2 linked regions of the Arabidopsis thaliana genome follow. The protein of the gene in region 2 interacts with the protein of the main gene of each other region in a pairwise test. Each region holds a gene or a part of one and is shown on either strand. Other genes may lie near its edges.

What was found.
Region 1: the proteins of AT2G32020 (region 2) and AT2G40350 interact in a two-hybrid assay, tested with the Arabidopsis thaliana proteins (one large-scale study listed by BioGRID).

Annotation. Positions count from the first base shown.
Region 1 is NC_003071.7:16,843,249-16,859,854, forward strand, and holds AT2G40350 (Integrase-type DNA-binding superfamily protein), read right to left. Parts: upstream 9,556-16,606; 5' UTR 9,437-9,555; coding exon 9,408-9,436; intron 8,821-9,407; coding exon of another isoform or gene 8,813-8,820; coding exon 8,347-8,812; 3' UTR 8,186-8,346; downstream 1-8,185. Other genes in the region: PYL6 (PYR1-like 6), read right to left, coding at 1,929-2,576; DREB2C (Integrase-type DNA-binding superfamily protein), read right to left, coding at 5,417-6,419, 6,559-6,602; AT2G40360 (Transducin/WD40 repeat-like superfamily protein), read right to left, coding at 9,875-9,960, 10,065-10,614, 10,691-10,755, 10,856-10,962, 11,041-11,173, 11,256-11,406, 11,487-11,589, 11,677-11,785 and 6 more; LAC5 (laccase 5), read right to left, coding at 14,944-15,074, 15,256-16,239, 16,430-16,558. UniProt on the Arabidopsis thaliana protein: Putative transcriptional activator that binds specifically to the DNA sequence 5'-[AG]CCGAC-3'.
Region 2 is NC_003071.7:13,620,538-13,636,624, forward strand, and holds AT2G32020 (Acyl-CoA N-acyltransferases (NAT) superfamily protein), read right to left. Parts: upstream 11,393-16,087; 5' UTR 11,208-11,392; coding exon 10,656-11,207; 3' UTR 10,443-10,655; downstream 1-10,442. Other genes in the region: AT2G32000 (DNA topoisomerase, type IA, core), read right to left, coding at 127-220, 478-581, 853-909, 1,000-1,026; CVL1 (CVP2 like 1), read left to right, coding at 4,807-4,836, 4,933-5,020, 5,266-5,334, 5,416-5,503, 5,597-5,701, 5,775-6,504, 6,587-6,780, 6,879-6,987 and 2 more; AT2G32030 (Acyl-CoA N-acyltransferases (NAT) superfamily protein), read right to left, coding at 12,138-12,704; AT2G32040 (Major facilitator superfamily protein), read left to right, coding at 14,579-14,810, 14,919-15,169, 15,249-15,313, 15,385-15,547, 15,647-15,795, 15,897-16,087.

The sequences.
Region 1 (16,606 bases), 3.2 Mb from region 2:
TTATTAAGAAACTAGTTAAATAGTAGTAGTTTATATGCAACATGCCACATTGGAATATACAAACCCCATAAATCGTATCTCTCTGGATTGGTCAGAATTTTCATTTTTTTGACACGGGAATACATATGTTTTCATATGTAAATAAAAGGGAAAAAAATTTCTTATGGGTTTATAAAATTAAAAAAAATGTGAAATAAAATATAAGTAATATAATAATAGTGATCAGAAATAGGAAGACAGAAAAGAAAATAAGAAAGGTGGGTGGGTTTAAATGTCATTATACAAACGACCAAAAGAGGGAAAACATTAATAGCCTCCTTGCCAACTTGCATATCAACTTGCAATTCCTTCCTTCCACGACAATGTTTACATATATATTTCGTACTCATTATGATAATAAATTAATAATCATTTATGTAATCAATTTGATTTTTCTTTAACCTTTTTTTTATTTATGGAATATTTTTTAAAGGTGTCAAAGAATAGTAGCGACTTTTTTTTTTTTCCTTTGCAACTTGCATGCTTTGTTTTTTTTCTATAACAAGTTGGATTTTATTACACCCCAACTTGCATTTTACGTACGATCATATACATGAATGTCTATATATGTATTCAATTTTGAATTTGGTTCACAAGTCTCGAAATCTTACTACTTAATTATAAAGTAACTAAACACATTTTGCTTTTGCAAACTTTGAATGTCTTTTCATCTTGTTCATTGGATTCTTTATATTTATATAACTAGATAAAGTTATTTGATTTTTCAAATGTACATTTTTATTCATGAACTAATATATAGGACAAGGAAATCCGAAAAAGTAATAATTTTGACATTTGAATTATTGAAACGGTTCACGCATCCCAAAACTATAAAAGGAACTAAGAAATTTTATCATTTTGGTATGTAAATAATTTTGATTTATTTTTTTGGTGAGTAAAAACAAAACATTTACGTATTTATGTAAAGTTTGTTGATGAAATGACAAATAATTTGAAAATTTTACGTTTCCAAATTAGGGAATTAAAGATATAATGCTGTATTACCTGACACCATTTATTTTGGCCTAGCATTATATATGCCATAAAGAAAATTCTTAAGATTATATCACATAACTCAATACATGCATTACGCCTTGGTTCAAGTTTAATTATCACTAATTGATATTATTCCATCTTTGCTTTTAGGATTGAACGCTTTGATTATATAGCTGGTGAGCAAATTCATTTAAAACACCAAGTAGTATTCTACTGTTTATACATTTCAATAAAATTCAAATGATGTATAGTTTTACTTTGTTCTTCTCTTAACATAAAGGAAAACGAATCATCTCAATCAGCACATGTATGGGTTTTCTGATTGCCCACAATTGTTCAGATCTCTTCATATATAGTAGATATGCCAATGATTATATTAATCAAATTGTTTGTGTAATACATTATTATGTAGGTTATCAAAATTAATGAAATTAGACATAATAATATCGGAAATATCGTAACAATATACCCCATGCATTATAGCTGAATCACTATATAGTCTATATTGTTTCATGATTAACTAAATTAAAAGACAAATAATAAATATGTAAAATACGGCGCAAGAAGAAGATTATGAAAATAACTAAACAATCAATGTTTATATAATAAAGCTACGAGAGCTGTACAAGAAGAAATGGTTTTAAGGGTAAAACCAAAGTATCGTTGAGACATACATTTAACAGACCCTAAAAACCCTAACTTCGAAAAACCAAAACCATCTTGTTTGATATAATTCTTGTTTTTTGTTTTAGTTTCGAAAAATCCCCGACGATAGTTAAATACTTAAATCTTAAAATCCAAAACCACCTCGAGAATCCCAAAAATAAAAGATAAATTTTGAAAGAGAGAAATATAGAAAATAAAATAAAAATAAAAAGATTGAAAAAATGTAATTACGAGAATTTAGAAGTGTTCTCGGCGAGTTTAGCCAGCGATTGCAAGTTGCACCGTACTATAGTATCAGCAAAGCTACAAGTCTCTTCCTTATCGTTACCCGCCGGTACGTCAACGACGTATGACTCAACGACACGTGTCCTCTTCTTGCCGTCGGAGTCCTCCTCCGACTCATGCACCGTCGTCACCGACTTGTAGTTCATGAGTCTGTGGTCCCCACCAACGACGCTGAAACTGATGACGTGGCGATCATCGTCCATGATCTCAAGCCGCTCTAAGCTAAACGCCGCGGGGAGACCAGAGACGACTCTGACCTCTCTCACCGACCCAACCTCTCGACCGTCTCCGATAACCACGTGGCAGCTTTTCACGAAGTGTTTGTACGCTTGAGGGTGTTCGAAGCGGCTTAGGATCGACCAGACTGTGGAAACCGGAGCCTCCACGTCTTGTACCACGACGGAGAAGCACTGAGAAGGACCAACCACGTGCGTGTGGGAAAGCTCCACGTGCTCCGGCACATCAGCCATCCCGCGCGTGAGGCTCACTTTTTGAACCTGTTTCTGATGGTGGTGGGGATAGTTTCTTACGGTGGCGTTGGCTGCTTCTGCGGCGGTGGAGGATCTCTGAAACTGTATCGACGTTGGCATTATTAAAGCAAATCTTTTCTCTATATCTCTTTTAATATTCTTGGCTCTCTCTAAGAAAACAAATGGTTTTCTTCGTGAGGTTGTATTAATGAGAGATATTTACATGTAATATACAGAACTATATAAGGACAGAGTGTTTATATATAAAAATGCAAGTATGTGGATTAGGAAAGAGAGTTAGTTTGTGTGGGTTCTTCGGTTGTCCACTTGGGATTTGTTTGGAGTTTGTGTACTGCTTCAGTTAAGAAACGTCTCTCTCTTTCTTTATATCAAGGACCGGCCCGGTTTCCCATGAAATTCTACGGACTGGTTCTCGATATTTAATATAACCGGTTATTAAATTTTAATTTTGTTTTTCCTTGCTTTGTTACTGAGGCTGTCTATTTGTCAATGGTGCTATATATTTCACCAGTTTATTACAATGAATGAGCATGTTGTCGTAACCACACAAGCATTACTATAATTAGAATGGACGTTTTTATGTTTTAACCAAAAACACTCTTGAATGAAAGTTGAGAAAATGAAATCAATATCATTTAAGATACCGAGAAAAAAATTCTGAACTCATCTCTATCTCACCGATTATATCAATATTCAGAATATAAAAACATTGAACATTATCTTTGAGGTTTTGCATAGATATTTCAATCTTCTACTGTCTCGAGGCTATATATATAGCTAACTCTAAAACGTTATTAAAGATTATAAGAACATGATCACTATGTGTCGAGTTGGTTAAGCTATATATATTGGTTAAGAGCTATACTTAATTTATGCATAGGTTTGAAAAAATTCTTGAAACAAATTGGTTGGGAGGACCGACCTTTGTCTTTGTGATTGCCGATCTATTTTCAGTTGGTACTATTCTTGGATGCGTTTTTGGTGGATTTTTAATTTTGTTGGAACCTTCTGACTAAGGTAAAAATTTCAAAAATAACTCCATAGGACTTTCAATGTTCCAAGTTGGTGAAGATATCATGTCATGGGTCCATCATAATAATCTTTCCTCATCTTGTAATCAACTTGAGCCTTTCGACGATACTAAAAAAAGTATTAATCAAATTCCTTTTCAACAAAGAAAAGAACAGAATATTAATAAGACGAATTAGAAGAAAATCAAACTAAGCAGTTTGCTAAAAGTAACCAACGTAAAGTCAGGGAAATTTACGAATTGGACAATATTTCTTGGGTGTGTTTTCTTCCACAAACGTATATTCAAATCATATGAATATATTGGACTCTTGGATTTGAGTGGTGGGCATAATAACAAAACACAATTGGGAAAAATAATAAAGGGTTATCTAATGCATTAGTTTTTCCAACAACTATACATATTCCCAAGTAGCCCTAGTTGTTAAGATTAATACGAATAAGCGAGCAATTTGCAGTACTAATTATATCTGACATTTTATAGAATAAGAAGGACAAAAAGTTACAATTTGCTATTTTTTGCACCATCCTCGATATAAAGATTGCTCATCTTATAAGCTTTCGGGTTAGGTGACATAATCACTCACCAATATATTACTGAACACAAATAGATTACAAGTTGATGTGGAAAATGTATTAATATTACGGTGATACATTTTTGGGTTCAAAGAGTCAATCTCAAATCAATGCATCAGACGTATTTTGTTACAACAACATAATTTGTGCCAACTTTTTTTTTTGTCAAAACATGTATTATATATCCAAGATTTAAATTCCAATGGTGAGATAGTGACAAACATTAGTATAAACAACTCGACTCCATGTCATTATTATTTTTGTGCAAAAGCCGGTTGTTTGTTTGTTTGTGAATATTTCTCGAGAAATAAATCTCCAATATGCATAAAATATTATTCCACCTAAAATTATTAAATCCCCAACTATGATTATAAACAAAATGCACTTAAAATTTCAAAAATAAGTATCGAAAAAATCAAAGATAAGCTTAAATTTCGATAGATATTTGAATGAATCAGATTACAACGTGATATTAAGAGAAGATTATCGATCAAAAAGTAATTAAAAGGAGAAATTGTCCAAAATAGTTGCATCTCATTCTTGCGGAGAAGAGGACACATTGTCAAAGGGAACTTGTGGAGGTGCAATACCCACCAATTCATTGGATTTAATTAATTAACAGTTTGCCAACTTGATTTCTTCATTTTTCTAAAGGCTTAGAAGATCTTCAAGATTCGAGCAAGAAAAACGATTTTGGAGACCAGAATGGAATAGTTAAAGCCTTTTAAATAATATACAACTATGTCCCATTTGCACTTTCAAATACCCAATTTGCCTTTTGTAGAAAATACAGATAGATAACTCTCTAATGATAACTTTATTATTCATACCTCATTGCTTATGTAATCTCAGACAACCTGAGGAAAGTCTGCAGACCAAAAAACTCCACTACTGGATATTTCCATTAAACTAAGCCAAGTTTCTTGAATAATCAAAACTTGCCAAGTCAATAAAACCACTACGCAACATCGCATTATTCCATCTCCATTCTTAAGGATGAAAATTAGATGTGAGAGTATCCAAAGTTCAAAGATCAAAACTTTATAGCTTATATGCATCCGAAGTTCAAAACTTTGATATGTACCGAATGTTATAAACTTTTTCTAAACCCAACGTTTGAACTTCTTCATATGTCATATGTATTCACAAGAAAAAGAAAGAAGGAATCATATTTGAACTTGTCCTACATTACCTAACTACATGTACTACGTCTCACAACCATTAATATCAGAAAGTATCAGTAGCTTCAAAGAAGGGCAGCTTCTAGCTAGTAACAGCTACACCGTCTCGGAGCAGAATCACAAACTTAGGCCAGTCAAACGAAATTTGAAATCTTATGTAGATCCATGAACATCTTTGTCTCCTCCAAAATCCAAGTCCTGTATGTCAAGATCATTGAACCTGCGATGGTCTAAATCAATACCATAGTTCTCCATATCACTGGGCTGCACATAAGGACATCCATAATCAACTCCTGGTTGAGCAATCTCCATAGGGTTGAGGCTCCCGAGCAAGTTAGAATTTGGAAACTGCGTTTGGTAACTGAAATTTGGGTGTCTATCCACTTGATACTGCATTGTCTCTTGACCAGACACATTGTTGTCGTTTAATATACCCAATAGCTCATTAATATCAAACGTTTCATCCACACCAAACTCCAATGGTTCTTGTTCATTGCCATTTCCCATCAACCAAGCATCCAAAGTCTCCCTTTTCGAGTCCTGTCCAATTCCAAAACCAACAGCCAAGTTATGTTCTTCCCTCACTTCCTCTTTTCCTTTCAGCTCCTCTTTAATACACTGAGAACTATCTAAGAGAACATATTCATCGCTACAATCCTCTAGTTTCACCTGACCAAAACCTGAACTTGCATTTGTATCCTCACGTGCACAAACTTCAGATTCATCAGAAAATGCAGTAACCGAGCCTGACACAGTGGCAGTGGCAGCAGTCGAAGAAGAGCGATTTGTGATCTCGGGAAGATTGAGTCTGGCAGACTGACCATATATAGCTTTGGCCGCCTCGTCATAAGCCAATGCAGCTTCATATGAACTGGAGAAAGTACCGAGCCACAACCTAGCACCTCCGTCTGGCTCACGGATCTCAGCAACCCATTTACCCCATCTCCTCTGTCTAACTCCTCTATAGTCACAAATCCCGTTTTCAGGTCCACCTTTACCTTTCATACAACCCTTCCTCGAACCTTTTGGAGGAGGCTTTCGGATTGATTTTGGACCACCACCATCGATACAAGATTCTGCCTCAATCTGCTCATTGTACTCTCTCCATTGCCTTAGAATCTCAGCTACATCTCGTGTTCCACGAGACTTCCTTTTCCTGGTAGAATCAAAGGGGATAGAAGCAAGATTAGCAACATGCTCGAGAACTCCAATTTTCTCTCTTCACAAAATTTCAAGCAACAGGTTCAACTATACTTCGGATCAAAGCACCTTTCAAAGAAACAATTTTTAACCACCTGAACGTAATTACACCGAAGTAGCTACAAGAAGAAGTTTTCATAATCTGCAGCATCACAGCGAGCAAGAAAGAAACTCCATCACGAACAGATTAAGAAACTAGAACAGAGCAAACTCAGAAACAGAGAATCACCTAAAGATTCAACATAGAATCCATAATCTAACTTCTGTATCAGGAAAGGTACCACCTTTAACGATTATTTTAGCTAAAAATCCTCTAATTTCCAAGTCTCTTAACCACACACGAACTAGAATCCACAAATCGCACAGAACTCAATCCAAAAGAGACAAATTGTGCCCCAAATTAACAAATTTCAGTCAACAAAAAACCCCAAAAACCCTAAAATTGAAAAACCTTTCAGCTTCCACCTATTACACAAACAAAGGAACTTGGAGGATATACACACAAAACAACAAAAATCGATAAAAAGAAAATCTTAAACCCTAACAATGAACAATCACATTTAGCAAACATACAGAAGAGAGGAAAAAAAACGGAGAAAAATCGAAAAATGTAACAAACAAACCTGTCAACAATCTCCGACGGCATGTAAGAAAGCACTCGAACAAAGTAGCAGCTGAAGAAGAAGAACACAAAGGATTCAATGTAATAATAGTAGTAGTAGTAGTAGCAAAGACGATAGCTTTTGTTTTCTCGTTAGCAGAGAAGAGAAAGGTTTGGGATTGTGAAAGGAGAAGCCTTTATATATAGACAAGTCTTAATTAGATATTTCAGATATTTAGGTGATGACGTGGCGTTCGAACTTACCAGATTCTGATTTGCGGCTGGATCCAGAGTCCTTTCCTTTTTGCTTTGGGCCTAAGTTATTTCTGATTATGCTTTTTGACTATTTTACCCTCAAAGCTTCTTTGTAATTTCCGCTTATGATCCCTTTTACTATAGCTGAATACGTCATTTACTCATTTTCGTTGACTAGTCAAAAATCAAGTCTTCTTCCACACGAAGCTATGGGCTAAGTATGGATTATTGTTTTATATTTTTTGTAAACTTTATTATTGATATGAATAAATTTAGAGAAAAATATTAATGTTTTATATGTGTTTTGGTTTCGTGGATTACCCTTAAGAGCCTATTATGCTTCTTTTCGCGAGTATATAACACATTGTGTTAGACAAGTTCAAATTGTGAATGAGACTATGAGTGAATTTGTCGTTAAATAAAGGAGACCAGCCTTCGTGGAGAATTTCTATTTTTCCTACGAAGTGACAATCCATTTTCTCTTTGTCTAGTCAAGGATCCATCATTCATTGTAATATGAACGTTAAGAAACTGTCACATACATATGGAATCAAATCCATATTTGGATTTAAGCCGACTAGTAACGCCCCAACTTAACCAATGCAGTTATTGGACTTAACATTTTGGAAATGCGAGAAGTTAGAGATCTCAACAAATAAAGGCGATCATTACAAAACTTAAACCTAGAAAGAGGATAATTTTGGAGTGATGGTGACGTAGAGGATGATCGCCAGTTTCTTATCATTTCAAATGCTTGATAGAATACATCTCCTCATAGATTGAGAGATAGAGAATATAATATTTTGTAGTGGTGGTGATGAGGAGGAGGAGGATTGAGTGTTATGAGAGTTTCAGACCACTCTTGGTGACAATCTAAAGATCTTCCTTTGTTTACTTTCTTGCATTTCAATAAAGCTCCATATGAGCTATCTCATTTTCAATCTACAACTTAAGACCTCACAATAGTCAACTACGATTAACAATACACTAGAACTATCTAGGAGAACATATTCATCAATACAATCCTCTAGTCTGACCTGACCAAAACCAGATCTTGCATTTGTATCCTCACGTGCACAAACTTCAGATTCATCAGAAAATGCAGTAACCGAGCCTGACACAGTGGCAGCAGTGGAAGATTGAGTCGGGCAGACTGACCGTAAATAGCTTTGGAAGCCTCATCATAAGCCAATGCAGCTTCATATGAACTAGAGAAAGTACCGAGCCATAACTTAGCACCTCGGCCTGGCTCACGGATCTCAGCAACCCATTTACCCCATGTCCTCTGTCTAACTCCTGTATAGTCACAAATCCCATTTTCAGGTCCACCTTTACCTTTCATACAACCCTTCCTCGAACGTTTTGGAGGAGCCTTTCGGATTGGTTTTGAACCACCACCATCGATGCAAGAATCTGCCTCGGTCTGCTCATTGTACTCTCTCCATTTCCTTAGAATCTCAGCTACATCTCGTGTTCCACGAGACTTCCGTTTCCTGGGCATAGAAGCAAGATTAGCAACATGCTCGTGAACTATTGGGCACAGAAGCAAGTCCCATTTTTTCTCTTAACAAGATTTAAAGCAACATGTTCAACTATACTTGGGATCAAAGCACCTTCAAAGAAACAATTTTTAAGCATCACAGAATCTACCAACACCGAAGTAGCTACAAGAATTTTTCACAATCTGCAGCATCACAGCGAATAAAAAGAAACCCCATCACGACCACAATTAGAACAGAGCAAACTCAGGAAAGGTACCACATTTAACGTTTATTCCAGCTAAAGATCCTCTAATTTCCAAGTCTCTTAACCCCACACGAACTCGAAGCCACAAATCGCACAGAACGTAATCCAAAAGAGACAAATTGTGCCCAAAATTAACAAATTTCTGTCTACGAAAAACCCCAAAAACCCTAAAGTGAAAACCTTCTAGCTTTCAACTACTAAACAAACAAAAGAAGTTACTTTAAGGAACTTGATACCACTCAAAAACAACAACAATCCTGTAAAAACAAAATCTTTAACAATGAACAATTAGCACACATACACAAGCGGGAAAACAAAAACAAAAAAAACGGACAAACAAACCTGTCAACAATCTCCGACGCTGACGGCATGTCAGCAATCACTCGAACAAAGTAGCAGCTGAAGAAGAAGAAGAACCCAAACGATTCAGTGTAATAGTAGATTAGTAGTAGCAAAGAAGATGGCTTTTTTCGTTAGCAGAGAAAAAAAAAGGTTTGGGATTTGTGAAAGAAGAAGCCTTTATTAGATATTTCAGATATTTCGGTGATGACGTGGCGCTTGTGAGTGAACGTTAAAAAACTATCAAATCAACATTTGGGTTTAAGGACTTGCCACAACTTAACCAACGCTGCCAAATAAATCGATACAATAAGATTTTGGACTTTACCATTTTGGAAGTGCTACAAGTTAGAAATCTCAATAATAAATCCAGTATAACAAAATTGTACGATACAATATTTGAGTAAAGGTGGTGAATACAACAAAGAAGAAAAGAGATGAAAATTGTCAAAATATGGTTTGCGACCAATCTAGTGGCAATAGAGTTTGATAATAGAGTCAGCGCCTGCAGTGAATAGCCATGGTTGTCTCGGATGAAACTTGCAGTCCAAGACTCCTGCAGTCATAAAAAATAATCAAAACACATTAATATAAACGATCTTACAAGTTAATATGCGATAGTGTATTCTTGTAAGAATCAAATACACTGTAAAAACTGACCTCCTTTTGAAGAATGACCTCTTAGAATCTCCAATGGCACAATCAGAGGATTCTGGTTCAGATCATTATACACCATTCCATGGAAAACATAAGCTGTTGAATCCTCCGAGCACGAAGCAAATAACGGATATGATCGATGAACTGCCACATTTGTAATGTCTTTAGGATGATTCTTGAGAGTCTTGTATGGTTTCGAAGATAGATCCATGTCAAACCAACACATCTTCCCTTCTTTGCTTCCTACTATCAGATTATCACCACCAGGATGAATCGCCATTGATGAGATTTCTCTCAATCCTGTCTCAAGCTTTTTGGTGGCCTCGCCTGGCTTCAAAAGATTGTAAACACGCACGTCCTTTCTTGTCGCAACGAAGAAGTAAGAAAGGCTGGGATGAAAAAGTGTACAGACTGGAAGTCCACGAATCTTAAATGGGAGCCTTTGTGTTTTCTGTTTTGACAGTTGGTGCAATACCACTCCCCGTGTTTCCCCGGATGCCATCACTGTTGAGAGATAGTCTCCTTTACGATGCCAGTCAATAGACGATATGCTCTGAAAGTAAACAAACCAGTTTAAGATTTTCCTTATGTAATAACTGTTAAAAGGAGAATCTTTTGCAAAAGTGTACCTTAAAATGTCTTATCTTAATCCCTCCATATAACTCATCAGGTAGCCAGGTTACAATTGCTGCAACTATGAAGTCGTGCAAAACATACCAACCAAAAAGATTTAATCATTTGGAATTTCATCACAATTACATACGAGATGATGGCAGTTATTCCAAGCCACTTACCAGATGCGTCTGGTTCTGGGATGTTTCCTGAGTGAAGCCTCTCTTTAGTAATTTCCTGTTCCTCATCAGTCCCAAGTTCAGTGTTCAGAAAAAACAAATCTCGTCCCCTGCAATGTGAGATGAGAAGGTTTCACAACAGACAATTATAATAAATTCAAAAGCATATTCACAAGATCCTCACTCACATGGCAACGGCTAAAACTGGAAGCCTGGAAAGAGGATTCCAAGCCACACACATGATAGCTTCGTCAAACTGCCAGACCTTAAGGCATCTACCAGTCTCCACTTCCCACATACGGACAGATCCATCAGTTGAACCTTTGAAGGAAAAAAGAATACAAGATTAGCATCTTGAAAACAAAAGAGACCTCATTGAAAAAAAAAAAAAATAATGAAATACCTGAGGCTATCCACTCGCCAGAACTATCAGTGGATATTGAAGTAACAGCCCCTGTATGGCCTTTATATTCAAGATAACAGGAGTTAGGATAAGGTCTAAGATCCTTCCTACTAGGTAGCTTAGGCTTCAAAGATTCAGGGTCGATGTTTATCTGGAGAAAAGAAACATAATGTAAGAAAAAATACGGGAAAAACAAAGAAGAAACCAAAAACTGAGATGATAAGTACTCACTCTCTTCTTTCGAACTCTTGGACATAGGTATAGATCCAAACAACGCTCAAAAGACTCCTTCAGTGCATTCTCATACGCAGGGATGCTTCTCAAAGATGTAAACCTATGCGCAGATATATTTACTGAAACGCTCAGCGGACAAATACCAAAGAAACTACATTAGAGTAGAATAAGCGAAACTGTTACATACCTTGTAGGAATGAATTTTGGACGATCTTCCTCAAACATCAACTCATATGAGGCTTTCTCCTCCTCTGTTGGAATATATTCCAAAGAAGGATTGTATGATTCATCGTGTCCTGGAAAGCCAAATAGTACAAATTAAAAGTTTGAAAACGGAATTCCCAAGAGAGGAAGAGAAACAACAGAAAGTCAGCGAAAAGTTTTCACCTGGCAATTTAAGCTTGGGTGGAGGAATATAAGTTAAATGCTTGCTCTTTTGATCAGATGTCGAATCATCACCCCATAAAAGGTATACATTGGGCTCTTCTTCAGGCTTATCAAACTTGATCCACCCCTTACGTATTGCTCTAACAATCTTAACAACCTTTTTGGCCTCCCATTTTGAAGGGATGAATCTTCGCTTGGGCTCTGGTGCACTTGAGAGTGGATGTATTGCATCATCATGTTTGAACCACTCAACATAAGGCTGGTCCCAAGAGAATCAATCAAAAGGTCACAAATTGAAGAGATTTGCATAACATTAGTAGAAAACGGCTACACATAAAACAGATACGTACTGCATATGGATCAAAGTCCGCATGTGGAGCTTCCCCTTTGAGTATTCTCTGAACGATCTTGCTCTCCTCTTTAGTCAGCTCAACGTCCTCGTCATTATATTCATCATAAATTTTGCGCCTAAATCCCCAAAAACTTTCATCAGCATTATGACACCAACTAACCACATACCAACAAACAGAAAAGTCTTCATACTGACCAAGTCTTAGAGTCATCTATAGTTGCAAGAAAAGAGTCGAGTTTATCTTGTTTTTCTTTCTTAGTAATCTTCTTCCCAGTGAGGTCATAACCAATATGTTTCTCATCTTCATACCACTTTAAGGGAACATTCCCAACTGTATTTCTAGATGGAACCTACAGATTAAAGATACAAAAATATCTATAACTTCATCTGGAAATGGAGAAAGATAGATTCAAGACCAATATGAGATAGAGAAAAGCATCAAACCTCATCTTCTGAGGAATCGCTCTCTTCAACCGCTTCACCTCGCTCAGAATCTTCATCACTCCCATGTTCCTCATTATTGTCACTACCTACATGTTCACTTCCATCATCATCCTCGTTATCAATTGACCCATCATGCTCTGCACCAACATATCCTAACATAGTTAATCTCTCTTACTTGAATTTACTTTCCCATGTTAAAGCTAGAAACTTTATTCCCCCATTATAAACTCCCGCAAGTATTTTCTAACACACTATAATTAGCTTCTTCAATTCAAAAGCATAAACACTAAAAATTTAAGATTTGAGCTAATTTAGACGAAAAGCAGAGTAAGAAAAGTACCAAGCACGTCGTCGTCATCGGAAAATTCTACATCTCCATCTTCTGTTCCTTCATGTGTTCCATCATCCTCTGAATCGGAAAAATCGGAGTCGAAATCGTCGGAATTCAAAGAACCAGGCAAACTCTAAAAATCACCCAAAAAAAAAAAACCAGAATAAATCAAATGCAGAATAAAGATGTTACAAAAGAGAAGAGGAGCAAGAAGAATACATCTCCGTCGTAATCAGAATCAGTTCCGGATGCTTGTAGAAGGTCTTCCTCTTTTAAGCTTTCTGCTTCTACTGGTTTCTTCTGTTTCTGAGATTTTCCAGAAACGTTTTTGCTTTTGGTTTCTATCAGCTTATCTTCGTTAGCTCCTTTGCTCCTCTTCGTCATCGGAGCTTCCAGAGGCGAGTTTTGGCCTGAGAAGAAATTTGTTTTAAGAAGGCAAGGGGATGCGTAACAAGAGATTTAGGGTTTTAGGTTGAAGTCGTAACTCTCTAATGGGCCTGAGAATAATTTTTTATTGAACAAGGCATGGGAATGCGTAACAAGAGATTTAGGGTTTTAGATAATGGACCTATATACTAATGGGCCTTTCGTGAAGACGATAAAAGAAAAAATTTAAAACCTTTGTGGTGGTGTTTGATGAATGGTGAAAAGTGAAAACGACAAATAGACTTTTTGGTTGTGATTAAAACTTTTTTATTCTTCTTGGTTGATCCAATTCTAAAGTGTCTGATAATAGTTATATATCATGATTTTCGCCAATATAAATTAACAATTATTAAAATTTGTATAATAGATATTATCTGGTTAGTGAATTTTAAAATATATATGTTAGGTTTTAAGATGACAAATGAGTTTAGTTTGCTATTTATTTTAGTATTTAATTGGTTTGCAAATGCCTTAAAAATTTATGAATATCTATCATGTAAAAGATCAATTATTCTTTTATATATTTTGCGTGTTTATAGCTAAGCTCACACTCGCGACCTAAGTTTTATTTTCTACGGTAAGATTTAGTTTGGATTTTCACCTTTTTGTATGGATTAAATCAAATATGACAATCGGAGTTCTTACAAATTATTACACGTTAATTTCTTGTCTACTCTAATATTTCGGTAGATTAGTGGCAACATGCATGTGTAAGAATTATATTATTATTATCATTTGTTACATTTGTTATAAAATTAGCCCTCTGAGTACTCAAAAATATAACAAAGTCATGACAACTTTTGTTTCTTCTAGTAATGTCGATGTTATGATTAATCCGCGTCGGAAATCACTTTGCCCCAAACTTTTCTGCTCAACTAATTTGGAATTTCAGGCCACTTTTTCTTGATGTCATATTCACTTATTCTTTTTCAATTAATTTCGTTATCATCTTCTCAAGTTCAAATTCAATAATGTTACGTAAAAGAATAATACTCATCAATTCATAGCAATGCGTTTTAAAACAAAATGGAATTAGGATAAGTTTCTTTCTTTATAACTTCAACATTCAATATTGACTCAGCAAATATTACGCCAACAAATTATGTTGTTTATTATGATCGCAAAAGTTCTAAGCTGATTATGGAAATAAGTAGGAATTTAGCTCAACAACCATTCATTCTAATTCTAACATATCAAATTCATGCTCTTAGTCATACACAAATCGAGTGAATGAAACCTTTTAACAAAAAAAAAGAAATCGAAGTAATGGGTCAATTAAGCATAAAGAAAAACGAAAAAAATAAACTTTCATGATACGTATGCTTAGGCTCTTAGCACTTGATTTGGTACTATAATGTCAAAAGAATACATCAATAATCGAGAAAACTTAATCTGAAGGGTCCGGGCCAACTCAGGAGTATGACCCGGTTTACGTCTATAACCAACAAAAAACAATTGAATAGAAGAACATGAAAAACTATAATGTGGTTTTATGTTACAAAGTTCTTGAACTCCTAACAAACGGGCAAATCATGAGGAGGCTGTTCTATTGTCTGCAAAACTCCATTTCCATTCTCAACCAAAAAAGCCATGGCTAGTCCCCACGATATGTGTGCATCTAGATGACAATGCATTATCCAGACCCCTGTTTTCAATCATTTTTACACGTATTTAGTTTAGGGACTAGTCTCGATATATATATAATAAATTAACGAATCATGTAAATTTTATAGCTAAACTGAAAAGCGAAGAAATTTGGATAAAAATAAGTAACACTTGTAATGAATGATAACTAGTAGTATTTTTATACTAATAGTTTAGCTTACCAGGGTTGTCTGCGATGAATCTGATGACGGCCCAACCATTAACAGGTACACCGACAGTATTTCTGAGAGGCGGGTCTTCAAGATTGAATTTCGCGGTATCTTTCTTGGGATTGAAGTTACCGAAACCCTCGGCGATAATGTAGAAATCGTAGCCGTGTAGATGAATGGGATGGTTTTCGGGAGTTACTATACCTGTGTCTTGAAGAACAATCTGAACCCTTGATCCATACTTGAGTTTGTATAGCTTAGTCCCTCTATCAGGTTGGTAGAGAGATCGGCTTATGTTGTTACCAGTGTAATCAAATTTCACCGGAGGCTTCGCCGGAAAATCGGTTGTGAAGACTCCGGGGATCCCATGGTGGTGAGCTTGAAGGAGTGAGTAGTTACTTGGAAGAGCAAATGAAACGTTGTTCATCGATGCAGTGAAACGTGTGCCGTTAGGACCTTGACATCTTCTTGATCTGAAGTTCTTAGGACAGTTGTTGAGACCGAGTCCGATGGTTACGAAGAGATTCTCGTCGATTTCTGTCGGAACCTCAGCTCGTCTAAGTGACCGGAAGCTTTGGCTGAAACGTGTGACGGTGTTTGTGTCGTTGTAGGCAGGGAGGATAGGCATGATCGGTTTGAAGGAATTACCCTTCTTGGTTCCACTTCCGCCGCCTACACCGCAACAAGGGGCGGATTTGTATTGAAGGATTGCTGTTGTGGTTGTGTTTCCAAACGGTGCGTTTTGGGCGCTTTGGTAAGCTCTTGCGGCCATGTAGTAGCGATTTGGTGGTTGGTCACCGGTTATGAGGACATCTGTGGTTTGTCCCGGGCCAAGAACTATCACGTTAGTGGTGAAGGGTTTTAGGTATGACGCGTCAGCTCCGACCACCGTGAGTTTGTGATTAGCCACCGTGAAGAATAACGGTTGGTTTAATGCTGAGTTTATTACTCGTAGTAGTATAGTCTCACCAACATTTATTGGTACTACTGTCGTATCTGTAACCAAAAGATTATAAAAAAGTCTAGTTAATATACTTATTTGAGTCTTTTGGGCTGATGTGTTTTATTTTGACTAAAAGATACCAAAGTCAGTTATGACAGTTGGGAGAAAACAGGGTAAAATATATGGGACAAGTTTTTGGACAGTTGATAAAATTAAAATTAATTTGAAGAAAAAGAGTAAAACCTTGAGAAGAGCATTTATAGAGATCGCCAGGTTGACCATTGATGGTGTAAGCGTCTGAGTTATTCGGAGCTCCTCCGGTTCGTATAGATTCTCTCAACACATCAACCGGATTTGCGTCCCACCATTCACCTTAAAGAATCATAAATTATCAGAATCAAAATCACCTATTTATTAACT
Region 2 (16,087 bases):
AATAAAAGAATACAAGAAACATATGACTACTAGAAAGATGCATCTCTACTACTAACAATACGTATAACCCAGCTAAAGCACTCCCCATGCACAAAGAAAAGAGATAAGATCATGAGAACTATTTACCTTTGGGTTTGATTCCTTTTTAATAATTGGAGCGTCGAAAAGATCTTGTGGATCAATAGTTGCCCAATTCTGATATTTTTCTGGGAAATCTACACTAGAATATGAGAGTGGTATTTAGAAAGACTGAGAAATCTGCTTTGAAATATTTGGAATGTCTGCAAGCAATGGTTTTCACAGCAGCTTTGTACACGAGATATAGTCCAAGAGATAATGAAAGATGAAAACCATTTTCCAAACTCGCGAGGGCAGCAAGAAAAAGAGAAACGTGAATATGCGTATTATACAGGGAGTGTGATTATGCAGCAGCAGATGACTCTTTGATTTGAATATGATTGATAGGCAAGAGAGAACCTGAAAACATGACCGATAACAGATGTAACTCTATAATGTGCTTTGAAGCCTCGAAACATGCCATCAAATTCATGCACCTCTGTACTGCCTCTCCTTGTAGACATCTGAATCAGAAGGAGAAAGATATCCAAGTTGGAACACACACAACTGATTCGGTTTTTAACCTCTAAAGGATACTGAAGTTTTAAAAGTGAAATCCAGTCAACAAAGCTACGTTAAAGAATCCATCAGAGCTGAGCATACTTCAATTGATTCTATCTCTTAATTCAACAAGAATCGAATTAACGCACAACAGTTCCGGTACTAAAATCAAAGCTACTTGCAGTTAGGCTTTTAGAAACTAGAGAATCGATAGAGATAGAGAGGTATATAAACCTGGCCATGTGAGAGAACTGAAGCTATAGAGAGGGCAATGCTGGGCTTCTCCGCCACCTGATGAAAAGAAGAATTGTAAGAGATGAAGAAATAATGATGGGAGAAGTAGAATCGAAATTGATTAATAGGAGAACCCAGTTCACTAACCATAAGAACTCTGAGGAGATTAGCCATTGAAGAAGACGTCAGAATCGGGTCAAAACTCAAAGCTCAGGCGGCGTCGAATGAGCTTTTTAGCCGGCGACGGAAACTAAAATCAGCTTAAACGAGAAACGACGACTATACACCGCTTTTTTCCTATATATTAAACGGCATCGTTTAGTATACATCTTAAAATTCGGTTTGGTTTCGGTTTGGTTCTTTTGTATACCGTAAAATTGAACAAATTCCCAACAAAATTCCTTGAATCCATAAATCGTATTTCTCTTGTTTAATAGAGTAAGTTGTGTATGTGTGATTTACATTTAAATATCCGAAAAAGGTAGAGTAGATTGAGTTTATATTATTTACTTTAAAATCGTAAACGAATAAAAATAGGATTTGCTAAGCTTTTTTAATAACATGCGATGTAATCAAAAGGTTTCTTTGAATTTGATCGTGTCCATTCATATATAGGAGATATATTTGGCAAAAATCATGCTCGATAAGTAAAGACGATATCACAATCCAAACATTTAATACTGACTAAAATTTACATTTCCCATCCCTCCTAGTCCTAGATTTTGGTCTACCAGACAAAGTAAAAAGCAAACAATAAAGGGTAATGTGTCTTGTTGTAGTGACATATCATCTTTCCCTTTCAATATGTTTTCTTTTTTCGGCTTTTTTTGTTTCTTTTTATATTTTGCTATACTTATTAAGTTATAGATTCTGTGAAATTTCCAAGTTTTAAAAACTATATCATTATTCTTTTCTTGGAGCACAATTGTTTGAGCATAAGATACTAGGATACTCTACTAAAGTCTGTGTTATGTGCATCAGTGCATACACATGCATGCTCATATATATGATACAAATACTAGATCATATCATCATATGTGTACAGATGTGAGCGAGCTTTGAGCCTTTGTTGACAAAAAGTGTTTCTTCCTTTGAAACAAACCCTAATATTTTTGATGATATCTTTGAAACGTTGGATATATCATATATCCATTATCGCGTACGAGTACAACAGTTTATTTTGAGAAATTCTGTTGACAATGTTGTGAATAGTCTTCTACTTTTTGTAGTATAATTTCGTTTTGAATATATAAGAAAATCGAAAAGTCAGGTCAAAAACTCAAAGTGTGTTAAATACAACTCAGAATAAATGACAACGTGTGTGTGATAGTGGACTGACGAAGAAACGACTCGTGGGAAGATCGTTTATTGATGTGGCGGCAAATTATTTCTATATGGATATATCATGTAGAAAACCAACCACTGTAGTTTTGTTTTGTTTAGTTTGTTTTTTTATCTCATATTTTAATTTGTTTATCTTATGATACCCTTTTATGTTTTTTAATTCAACATATATTACAGTAGTGAACTTCTGTTATTTGGTAAGTGATTAGCAAAAAAACGATAGAACTACTTGGTGATCCTTATACAGTTATACATATTTGCATAGATTCGCATCAAAGTGAACCCTAACGGCATAGACCATAAACAGTTTATACTATGATATAAAGTAATATAATTAATATGGTTTACCAAGAAAATAATTTAAGGTGGACGTACGAAAAATCAAAGCAGAAAAAGACCAACATTGTGAGGCAGGGACTTGGAATGGGAAAGACGAAATGATGAAGGCATGTTTGGCATCTGGCCTTCTAAAAGCCAAAACCCATCCTATCCAAATATTTAATTATTTTTGTCTTTTTTAAAGCAAAAGAATCCGTTTCGATATTATAACTACAATGACTATCCATGCATATACTATACAATATATGTATACTTATATAAACCAATCGTAGATTAAAATAGTGTATACATGTATACAGTCATTGTCATCCAACGAAATTAAACGTGGGCGTCTTTTTCAGATAAAATTACACGTTTGTTAAGCAGTTGAATGGCAAATAGATGTTTTCTACAAGAAGTATGTAAGTAACAAAAACGGTAAAAGCATGACTATAGAAAAACTTTGCTATATTATAAATTTATAATAGTGTAGTATTATGCATCATTAGTTGATTCTATAATACTATATAATGATTAACTTTTTGCTCCTTCCTAATCCAAAATGATTTGGAAGACTCCCTTTAATATCCTTAAAATTTCAACATTTACGAGGCAGTCAAAAGCAAACAAGATTCATCATGTTTTACAATTCATTTCACAGTTCACACACACATGTATATATATATATATATATATATATATATGTGAGTATTATATAATTAGTTAATTGCTTTATGCTTGTGTATAGTTGTGTGGAATTAATCCTCTTTTCTATAGTTGTTGTTGAATGGAAGGCTATGTAATGCTCATTTGGTTATAGACGTTGATCACATCGTTTAGCATTTACAAACTGAAAACTTTCAAAATGATTGTTAATTTGCGTGTGTGTTTGGTCTAATGATTTAATATCCGTCATGATCTTGTTACCTTATAGGTTTTCTTCGACCTATTAATGATACAAAGACACAGACACAGACCTCTCGATTCCCTAGCATCACTCATATTCTTAAGTTGATTATGAAGGAGTTAATTCAAAATAAATTTATTAGTTATTTAGTATTAGTTTTATAATCACATCAAACATAATTACTATTGCTTTTATATTTTGTTCAGAATCATTATTTAAAAATTAAAATATAATAGTGTATTATTAACCTAGACAAGATGTTTTATAAGAAAATGGAAGTACATATGGAAATTTCTGTGGATTTCCAATGATTTATATTATAAGAGATGTAGGCCTATATAAAACATTGCCCTAAGCATGTATACAAGGATATACGACAAGAAATACAAATACGAAATATACATATTTTCAAAATAATCATTTATCAAAAACGTAAAAAAAAATTATCAATGTTGTGAGTGATGAAAATAAAGAAATCACTAAAACATGAACAAGTAGCATATTTTTAAGACGATTCATATGAAAATGAAATACTACTAATCAAAATTTTAAAATAGGGATATTTTATGAGTTTATGACCAAGAAGCACAAAATCGTTAAGGACAATATTTAATTATTCAAACCATTACCAATAGGAAAGACAACAAAAACAATTGAATAAGCCTCCCTTAATTTCTTCTAATCAAATCAAAAAACTTTTTTTGACTAATTAATATTTTAGACTCAGCCAAAAAAAAAAAAAGTGATTACTGATTAATCTAAGAATTGAAGGTTCCTTATAATAAGCTCATTCTCATTCTCTCTCTCTCTCTCTGCGCTTTATTCTGTTCAAAATCCTCTGCTTTTACTTTGCCGTTTCACTGAGAACGAGGCTCGCTCACTCACTCTCTCTCTTTCTCTTTCTCTTTCTCTTTCTCTTTCATAGAAGAAGAAGAAGATTCAGGACCTAAGTAGAAAAGCTTAAACCACCACTCTCTCTTCAAATCACACTTTTGTTTGTTTCCTCTCTCTCCAAAATCTTTCTCATTGTCTTCTTTGCCTCCTCCTTCAAGAACTCTTGTCTCTTCCAACAACTTTTTTCCTTCTTATTCTGAAAACCAATCTTCACTTCTCATTTGTCTCAAAACACTATACCCATTTCCTAATTCCTGTCCCTGAGAGCATTAGTAGAGAGACACAAAACACTTTAATCCTAATCCAACTTGTCTTTACTTTAGCTTCTGTCTGATTCAATCAAAGGACAAGAAAGAAGCCAAATCTTGTCAATTCTTTTTAAACAGTGATTCAACTAAAAACCCCAAATTAGTTGATTTGATCTCTATTGTCTTCTTTTTTTTGGATGGATTGAGTCTCAAGAACAAACAGTGAATCAAATAAGAGCAAGAATGAGAGACGATAAAACCAAGAAAAGCAAGGTTTGTTTTTATGTTTCTTCAATTCTTTGCCATCTTTCATGAATTTTACAGATGAACAGTTTCATTTACCTTCTTTTTTTTTATGCTTCAATGAAGTTGTCATGGTCCAAGAAGATGGTGAGGAAATGGTTCAACATCAAAAGCAAAACTGAAAAGTTTCAAGCAGATGTTTCTCTTCCTCAAGGTAACCAAAAGTCTACTTCTTGTCAAAATTTTGTTTCTTTGTTCTGTTCTGCAGAGCTTTAATTTGTAATATTTTGTCTTTTCTGAGAAAACAAAACATCTCAGTTTCACTTTCTTTCTTTTCTTTTGGGGTCAATTGACAGTTACTGTTTCTTTTGCTTTAACCACTCTTCTCTGTGGAAATTAAAGAATTAGCAATTGGCTTGTTATGTACTGATTTCAAATTCTGATCTTTTATTCAATAAGGAGTTGAAGTTGAGCACAGAAACAGCTTCTCAGAGAGAGAGCCCTGCACAATCAAGAAGAGCAAAACTGGTATATAATCATTTACCAATATGATCAAATTCTCTATGAGAGAGTTTTCTTCTTTGGTCTCATGATTTCTGAGTTTCACAGAAAAACTCAATAAGAACTGGGAGCAGCAAGCTAGACAAAGGAAAATGAACTATGAAAATCCCAGAATCATTGATGTCCAAAACCACAGGTAACATATATATGAACACAATCACACACACACACACACACACATATGTGACTTATTTTAGTAGAATCTCATGTTGGTGATTCTTGAGAACAGCATCTTCGTAGCTACATGGAACGTTGCTGGACGCTCTCCTCCTGAAGATTTAAACCTCGACGAATGGCTTCATTCTTCAGCTCCTGCAGATATATACGTTCTCGGGTGTGTTTCCATTTTACATCTTCTTTTCAAGAATGTCTCTTTTTGTTCTTACTTATCTTGTGTGTTCTTTTAGGTTCCAAGAGATTGTTCCTCTTAATGCTGGTAATGTTCTTGGAGCTGAAGACAATGGTCCTGCTAAGAAATGGCATTCACTCATCAGGAAAACGCTCAATAACCTTCCCGGAGCAAGCAGTGCATGCCATACTCCATCGCCTATTCCTGTCCCCATTGCAGAGATTGATGCTGACTTCTCAGGATCTTCAAGGCAAAAGAACGAGACTTTCTTCAACAGAAGATCTTTCCAGACGCCGAGCGTATGGAGTATGGAGGAGAATGACCCTTCGATCTCACAACCACGGCTTGACCGTCGTTTCAGCGTGTGTGATCGCGTATTCTTCAGTCATAGACCAAGTGATTTTGACCCGAGCTTCAGGTGTGGTCACAGGCCTAGTGATTACTCAAGAAGGCCTAGTGATTACTCTAGACCGAGTGATTATTACTCTAGGCCGAGTAACTATTCTCGGCCTAGTGATGTTTCCAGGTGGGGCTCCTCGGATGATGATAACGGCCCAGGGGATTCTCCAAGCACATTTTTGAATTCACCGGGGTCATTTCTTGGTTCTGCAGCAAACGAAAACGGTTACAGAACCCCGTGGAACTCATCGCAGTACTGTTTGGTCGCAAGTAAACAGATGGTTGGTATCTTTTTAACCATTTGGGTGAAAAGCGAGTTACGAGAACACGTCAAGAACATGAAAGTATCTTGTGTTGGTAGAGGATTAATGGGTTATCTCGGAAATAAGGTAAAAAATCTTATGTTTGTTACCGCTTGACTTAGTTGGTTAGTTAGTGCATTGCTATAATGTGCTTCTGTGGTTCTTGTAGGGATCAATCTCAATTAGTATGTTGCTTCATCAAACAAGCTTCTGCTTTGTGTGCACCCATTTGACCTCGGGACAAAAAGAAGGTGATGAGCTAAGGAGAAACTCCGATGTCATGGAGATACTCAAGAAAACAAGGTTTCCTCGAGTCCAGAGTTCTGCGGACGAGAAGTCCCCTGAGAATATCCTTCAGCATGAGTAAGACCGAACATCAAGAAATGACAAGAATCGAATCATTTGCTTAAGATTCATGATTTGTTACATTTCTCATTTGTCTTTGTTTCCATTTGATTTAGTCGGGTAATATGGCTCGGGGATCTGAACTACCGAATAGCACTCTCTTACCGATCCGCAAAAGCACTTGTCGAGATGCAAAACTGGAGGGCATTACTAGAGAACGATCAGGTATACGTAGTAGACAAATAAAGCAATAGAGACTATAGAGTTTCACATTACTTTTACTTTATAGAATGGTCTAATCCAAAACATTTGAAAACGTTTTCACTGCAGTTACGGATAGAGCAGAAACGAGGACATGTGTTTAAAGGATGGAACGAAGGAAAGATATACTTCCCACCAACTTACAAATACTCAAATAACTCGGATAGATATGCAGGAGGTGATTTGCATCCAAAGGAGAAACGTCGTACTCCTGCTTGGTAAGTTTCTTGCAATCAGAATAATAAACAAGAACCAAGTAATGATCTAAAAATGGTATTTTTTGGTTATGTTACTAAAGGTGTGATCGAATACTATGGCATGGAGAAGGACTACATCAGTTATCTTATGTAAGAGGGGAGTCACGGTTTTCTGATCATAGACCGGTTTATGGCATATTCAGCGCAGAGGTTGAGTCAAATCACAAGAGATCAAAGCGAACCAATAGTCACTCCACTGCACGGGTCGAAGCTGAAGAACTCTTACCTTACGCCCGCGGATACACCGAGCTAACATTTTTCTAAAAGAAAATTGAAAAGCCTTCTTCTTTACGGTAACATCTCCTTTTCATAAGATTTATAATTCTAACCATAAAATTAGGAGATAGCAGATAGAATGTAGTGTCAGTGACATTGATCAAAGCCAATGTAGTCCATTAGTAGGAGTAGACTAGTAGTAATAGTTGTGGTCCTGAAACTCAAAATAGAGACTTAAGTCCAATGAGACAGGTCTGCATTTATTATGTATCAGCCAAGAAAAGTATAATCCACACGTTCCTCTCATATCATTTAAGGCACATCACATTGATTTGGATAAAAATGGACCCGTTAAAGCGATCTGTTTTCGTGTTTTCGATTCGAAAATGTGATAAGATATTGTCTCTGCATCATCATCAGCAATAATATTAATGATGGAAGATTTCTTGACACCAAGATTTGTTGTGTGATCTTTTTTTTCTGAAATCTCATAAAGAGTTATAATTGTATATGATTCTTCATCATATTAATATCACTTATGGTATATAATTTGTTTCGGCTTTTGTCAGGTCAATTAAAGTTTTTTTTGTTCGAATGTTGAAGCCTTGAGGAGTGGATGATGGAGACATTTCATTGCTCCTTTTAACACAAAGGAAACAAATAACAGGTTGGTCCAACTTCTCTTCCTATGTCTGTTTCCGGTTCGGTTTCGATTGATTTTAACGGTTGAATTTCCGGTTTACAGGTGTATAAAGGATTGTAATTTTGTCTTGGTTAATAGAATTTCGCATATCAAACCGGTTCTTTCATTTATCATGTCAGGAGTAGGAGTTAAAAGTAAATTTTACAGTGTAGGTAATAATTAATTTGTAATCACAATTTAATTCAGTTTGATTCTACTCATAAGGTAACAACAGTTTAATAAAACTTGTTTTTGTGCAGGATTATTAAACTGACAGATGGAAGGTTTTTTTTAGTTCTTCATCAGTCTTTTTAGGGATAGTTTTTGATAATATTATTATTGTAAATTGAAGTGTGTTCCCGAGACAATGATAGTGTAATGCTTGTTGTATAAGTAAGATTTAGCCGTTTAATAAGTGTAACAAAAATACTATACAGCAAAAGCAATTATTTCATTCATTATGATAGTTTTCTTACAAAGGAAAAGTGAAAAGAATAAAAAGATAACGTCTTGTGATGATCTTTGTACTGAAAAAGTTAGGGCTTCTTGATAACCTCGAAGCTCACTCATTCTCTGATTCTATGTATTGGAATACAGAAATTCAATGATTAGTTTTATTTTTTCTGCAATCTCATAAAGAGTTATAATTGTAAGCAATTAGTCAAAATATCAACATTCAAATACCTTTGCATTATTTTTTGTAGCACTGCGTGCAAAAGGTTTAATAATTTTCAATCATTAGTTTGAGTATATAAGCTGTAATTTAATCAGATGAAATTTGTATATTATGTTTTGAAATATTAAAGGTAAGAGAGAGAATAGTGTAAAGATGTGAATGTAGAATGAAATGATTGAAAAAGAGTATGAAAGTGCAGAGAGTGTATTGTGTAATCTCATGCTTTTCTCTTTTTCCTATTTGCTCATGCTTTCTCTTGTTTCAGCTTTCGTGATTACAACAACACTTCTAAATTCCCTTTTTTTTTGGGTTATTTATTTTAAACCCAAATTAAAAATAAAATAAAAACATTCTTGTACAATGTGAAGTGAGACAATGATCAGCTCTATTTTTTTTTTCATGAAAACCCCTATTTTTACCTAACATTAACAAATAAATAAAAATGGAATGGAATATGTGGTCCAGAACAAGAAGTGTATATCGAAATGATTTACTTAAATACCTTTAACTATTACTCCAATCCTATTAAAATTAAAGTCCATCAGCTATGATTTACAGGAGTGGACATTCTGATATTTTATCTAATTCGATAAATGTTGCGGTTCATTCCAAATTTGTACCTATTTAAAGGTAAAATATCTATATAGTCTTATCGAATTTTGGAGCTAAGATTATTTTTAATTCCTAAAAACATATGTTTAGTGAGCTAGTTAGTAAATGAATCTAATTTTTTTGTTGGTTAACAGAAAATATCACATACTTACATAGTGATTTCAAATACTAATAAATTGTTTCATACTATATGCGTATATCCTATATGGACTGACTGGTCAGACATATTGAACGGAGTGGAGTCTTTATTCACATAACCTAAAAATAACTTTTTTTGATATGCATGTGTATCTATAGGCCAAATATATTTTAGTTCTACCACAGAAGTTAAAATAAATTGTATTAGTAATATATTTAGTCCTTTGAAAGTGGGAAACGAAATTAGCCTCACACAAGCACAGTGATGATTGATTTCTTCTTCTTTTTTTTACCCAAAAAAATCCATTTTTTCTTGTAATTTCTTATTTCCAGATTATTTTCTTCATAACAAAAAAAAAAGAAAAGAAATTGCTCACTTCACTTCTCACTAGATTCTTTATAACGAAACCTCCACTACACGGGCCCTAAATTTGGGCCACATGGGCTTCTCTCTTAACGAATTACGCACGAGTAAACTTCATTTTTCCAACAAGAAGAAGAAACTCAGGGGAATCTAAAGATTGTTTACTTTAATTTAAGAAATATGGAGAAATCATAATAAATTAATTACGTACTACTTATAGTAAATTTGTTGAATTACATAAATTCATAATTCAAATTTTACAAATACTTTTAATATCCTGTGTTATTTTAACAAAGCTGGTCTGGCTCTTAAGTTCTCATCCCAAGGACCATGGGATGTTTTGCTTTTTTTTTCTTTTGCTTGTTGGATGAGTATGTGAACCTTTTTATGGATACAGGACGAATCCCATTGTTTTATTTACATTCTACATTATTCGTTTATACGCTTCTATTAACCTTTGATTTTTAAAACTCTTCTCTACCTATCAATTTGTAATCGGATGATCCCTCTAACCTCACTTCTGTCTCATGCACTGACTTTAATTGTTTCGTAATTTACAATGTAGGATTTATAGATTTTTTTGGCAAATGAAAAACAGAGTGTTTACATCATGTATTACGTATATGAATCATACACTAAATCCAACATATATATGTAGAATTGCTAATTAATCTTTTTGTTGATTAATTACTTCAAAGTATCAGTAGACAAGAAACTAAACATAACAGTGTCTCTTACACTTCCCTTGATACATATAAACTTCCTCATCACACCTTCTCTAGTAAACCCAACTTTTTCAAGAACCCTTTGAGATCCAACATTGTCCACATCAACAAGTGCCTCAAGCCTTTCAATCTCTGGAAATTCCTCGAATACCTCCGCGGTCACTAGCCTCACTGCTTCCGTGGCAAACCCTTTTCCCCAATACTTTCTCGCTAGGACATAACCAATCTCTTTTCTGATGTTATCAACCGCCATGATCAAGATGTAGCCGATTGGACGGTCGTCTTCTAAGCAGATGGCTCGGAGCCAAGGGTGTGTCAGGACACGATCGGTTATGTATTTGATAGCTTCGTCTCGGCTCGTGCAAGGCTCCCAAGTGCAAAATCGAGCCACTTTAGGATCTGTGGCCCAAACCATGTAGTCATCGACGTCGGAAAGAGTCATCGGCCGGAGAGATATTCTTCCCGGAGGCGAAGAGCTCATTATTGGATTAGTTTCTTCTGAGTCCATCTCCATTTAGGATTAGTGATTGTTTTAGATATCATATCACTACGTCTAAGCGATGTCTTTATACACATCGCGATCTTGAAAAACTTTGAGATTCTCCCTTATTGCTTTTGACTAAAAAAACACTAAATATTACCATTTGCTATAGATAAGTGTATTTAGTGTTAAATATACGACATAAGATGAGGTGTCATCGTGTGAGTGGATAATTGTCTATATTTGACCTTGGACTTTCGACACTTACTTGGTTGCCAAACAAAGTATTGTTCTGGTTTCGGAACTTAATGTGTTGCTTCCAGTTGGATGCCCACAATGCCACGTGTCAAATCGTGTGTGGTCTGATTCCCAAAAAGGATTTAACTGTTTCTCAAGTTATTCTAAATGGATTAAATATTTTAATACTGTTAATATTTGTGGTGCAAATGATCGTAATCGTTTGTTATATACTGTCAAAATCAACTCAAGAATCAAGTCACTCAACATGTTGTATGATTAAGTAATTTAGCTAAAGATTAATTAATCGAATGTTATCAGAATTCCATTCATCTATCGCTGTAAAACTAGCTATCACACTATCTTTTTATTGTATAAAATATTTCATGTTTAGATTCAAAAAGAAAATATATATATATATATCATGTTTCATTTTGTACTTTTAATTTTCAATATAAACTTACATTTTTTCTGAGATAGTGAAGCTTTGTTTTATTTGGTGAAGTGAACATGGTAAATAGTAAATACATTACTCTCAAATTATAAAAAATAACTTTTGTATGAAATAGTTAATATATAAGGTTACAACTAACAATTACATAAGAAGAAGAAAGATAGAGCATCACATCAAATTATACATGTGATTTTTACAAACTAAGCAAAATATAAATTTCGACATCAAACAAACTTAATATATATATTTGATATTTGTTAATTCAAATCAGATCAGTGCAACGAATCAGAAGGCAAGAAACTAAACATGACCATATCTCTAACATTTCCTTTAAGATACATAAATTTCCTCATCACACCTTCTTTCACAAACCCAACTTTTTCAAGAACCTTTTGAGATCCAACATTGTCAACGTCAACAAGTGCCTCAAGCCTCTGCATCTCTGGCTTCTCCTTGAATATCTCCCCCGCCACAAGCCTCACCGCTTCAGTGGCGATCCCTTTCCCCCAATACTTGCTTCCGAGGACATAACCAATCTCTCCTCTGATCTCATCGACTGGCGTTACGGAGATCGAGCCAATCGGACGGTCGTTATCTAAGCATATAGCTCTAAGCCAAGGGTGTGGCAAAAGAGCGTCGTTTAAGTACGCGATCGCGGCTTCTCGGCTAGTGTAAGGCTCCCACGTGCAAAAGCGTGTGACGTTTGAGTCAGTGGCCCAAACCATGAAATCGTCGACGTCGGAAAGAGTCATTGGCCGGAGATGGATTTTCTCCGGAGGTGAGGAACTCACGGTGGATAGGGTCTCCGGTTTGATCGTAGTAGTTGAGTCCATCTCCATTGACTTTTTCTTGGTTACTTTCCTTTTTGAGTCTTTGAAGCTTCTTTGGGATTCTTTAAAATAAATTATCTCTCTCAATTCTTACAGATTTGTGTAGAGGCATTATGATAATACTTCTTCTACAAATCACGATTTAAATACTGATTTTTTTTTAACAAAAAAGAAAATAAACAGAACGTTCCTTCTTGCTTCGATCGGTCAAATACGCAACAATTAGTTCTTGTTGAATGGAAGGTGTGAAAAAGACGGTTTATAATGGGTATGGGTGAACCGTATATTTACCATCCATTCATCGTTTTTGATTTAAAAGAGGTATATTCAATCTAGTATTTAAAGTGACTTTCGTAAATTTTACAAGTATATGTTATTTAATTATGGATTTTGAAAATTCTAATGAAATCTAGTGTTATTAAAATAATAATTTAAAAATCTACCTTTAAATTCACTGTTATTAAAAATAATTTATGGATTTGATTTTTATAAGAATGTATTCAATCTAATATTTTAAGTGATTTGTGTAAAATTTATAAATTCTATGTTGTTCGATTATGGATTTGAAAAACTTTAATGAAATCTAGTATTATTGAACTAAAGATTTAAAATTCTATCTTAAAATCTATTGTTATTGAAAATAATTGGTAGATTTGATTCTTATTAATTTTGAAGGATTTGAGAAAGTTCTTTAGTTAAAAATAACAAAATCGAAATTCATGGTCTTATATAGAATTTTAAAATATTTTATAATAAATCACATCAATTTTCCTAAAATCATCAAACTCATATAAAAACTAGCTAAAACTCAAATTGTAAGGTCCAAATTAATGAGTCAACTCAACTCAACTCAACTCAATCCATGAACCCTAATGAGTTGAAAATTTTGACTCAAATGAGTTGATGAGTCAAATGAGTTGATGAGTCAATTGGTTTGATGAGTAAAATGAGTTGGGTTGTAATGGTTAATGGTTTCAATGGTTTATCCAATTAACCCATCAAATTTTGTAAAATTGAATTAAACCAACTAAAATCTCTAAACCAATGCCAATTTAAGTCTAACCAACACATCTAAACCAATTTAATAAAATTAATATTTTTCCAAATTTCTTAAATATACAAGCGATGAAATTGAGAAAAAGTAAACCCGTAATTTTTCCGCCAAAAACGTAAATCCGTGATTTTCCCGCCAAAAACGTAAATCCATGATTTTCCCGCCAAAAACGTAAACCCGAGATTTTCCCGCCAAAAACGTAAACCCGTAAAAAGTGGAATCCGTAAATATATTAAGTTTTGATGATAATGAATTAATAATGATAATTATTTATTATTATTTTATAATAATAATTAATTAAATTATTACTTAAATGGGTTAACCCATTTAACAACTCAACCCATTAAATTAAATGAGTTATGGGTTGACTTAACCCATTTAACAAAATGAGTTGGATCAACCCATAACTCATTTAACCCTAAACTCATTTGATTATGAGTTGAGTTGAGTTGTGTTACCCATTTTGACACACTTAGATCTAATACACCTCTTTATTAATTTTAAAGGATTTGAGAAAATTTAAAAAGATTTATTTAGTTACATATATAAAAATTCAAATCTCATATTTTTACTGGAATTTGATTTTTTTTTTTTACAATAAATCACATAAAAAGACATTAAAACTCAAAATTATTTAAAATATAAGGTTCAATACATATTTTGTCAATAAAAATTTAATAAGCTGCTAATATAGTTCATGAGAAAAATCAAAAATTAATTTATCAATCGAAAAAAAAGACGAAGAAAAATTAATTTATCTACGTAGCGCAAGAGACGGAGTGTTGTTTATTTAAAGAAAAGAAAGAAAAAAAAAAGAACGAATATTAAAATGGCGAGTCGCTCTCTTTTCTCTATCTCAATCTCACCTTCTCAATTTACAGTTTTGCCATCCATCAACAACGAGAGACGACGCCTTGCTATCGCCGCTCGATCTCACCGACTATCACGCCGGAAGATTCGTAAGAGACCTCCTGATAGAGATATGTCCTCCATAGTTTCAATCCCGGAGCTTCCTCGCCGGCGGGATTCTGAGGAAAGCCTGCTTTTAGATTCTCGAATCAGTAAGTTCTTAAAGCAACAGAATCCTCAGAAATTGGCATTTGGGATTAGGTTTTGCAAGTATCGAAGCTCCATTAACTGAATCCTCAGAAATGTGTGTATATGAATAGGTGTAGCTGAAGGAGATACATCGAATACAGATGTAGAAGGAGACAGAGATACTACTTCTAGTATTAGAACACAGCCTCCCCCTCGTAAAGGAAGAAATCTTAGTAGCAGCAGAATCAAATTCTACGGTGTTGAATTATCACCAGATAATGTTGCTGTAGCAATGGTGTATTTTGTTCAAGGTGTTTTAGGACTCGCTAGGCTCGCTGTTAGTTTCTATTTAAAAGATGACTTGCATCTTGATCCTGCTGAGGTATGCTTTTTGTAGTTCCTTGTTGGACTTTCATGGGAATATCTCTTTATAGGCTGACAAATATATACCTCTTGACTAGACAGCTGTGATAACGGGTCTTTCTTCATTGCCGTGGCTTGTTAAGCCTCTCTATGGTTTTATCAGGTATGAGTTCTTTATCACCTCTATACCTCTTGACTGTGATAACTGTTTAAGGAAGTTGGTCTGTTTTGCAGTGATTCAGTGCCTCTATTTGGTTATCGAAGGAGGTCATATCTAGTTCTCTCGGGACTTCTTGGTGCATTTTCTTGGAGTTTGATGGCTGGTTTTGTTGACAGTAAATATAGTGCTGCTTTTTGTATACTTCTCGGTTCCCTCTCTGTCGCCTTTTCTGATGTTGTAAGTTTTCAAATCCATTCTGGTTAACTTAGCTTGGTTAAGTTGCAAGATAGAGTTGGATATATTGAAATATTAATTAAGTGGTTAACGTTTTAATAGGTAGTAGACTCAATGGTAGTGGAACGGGCTCGTGGTGAGTCACAAAGCGTGTCAGGATCGCTGCAGTCTTTGTGCTGGGGATCCTCAGCTTTTGGTGGAATTGTGAGTTCCTACTTTAGCGGCTCCCTGGTGGAGTCATATGGTGTGAGGTACAGTTCACAATTTGCGCAAACAGTAGCTTTTCTCTTTTTCGGTATTCCGTGGCATAGCTAACTAACTAAGTGGCATTCTAAAAGCTGTTATACCTCAGGTTTGTATTTGGGGTGACAGCTTTACTACCCTTGATAACTTCAGCAGTTGCTGTTCTCGTGAATGAACAACGTGTGGTCAGACCAGCATCAGGGCAGAAAGAGAATATAACGCTGCTCAGTCCTGGTTTTCTTCAGACCTCAAAGCAGAACATGATTCAGCTATGGGGTGCCATTAAGCAACCGAATGTTT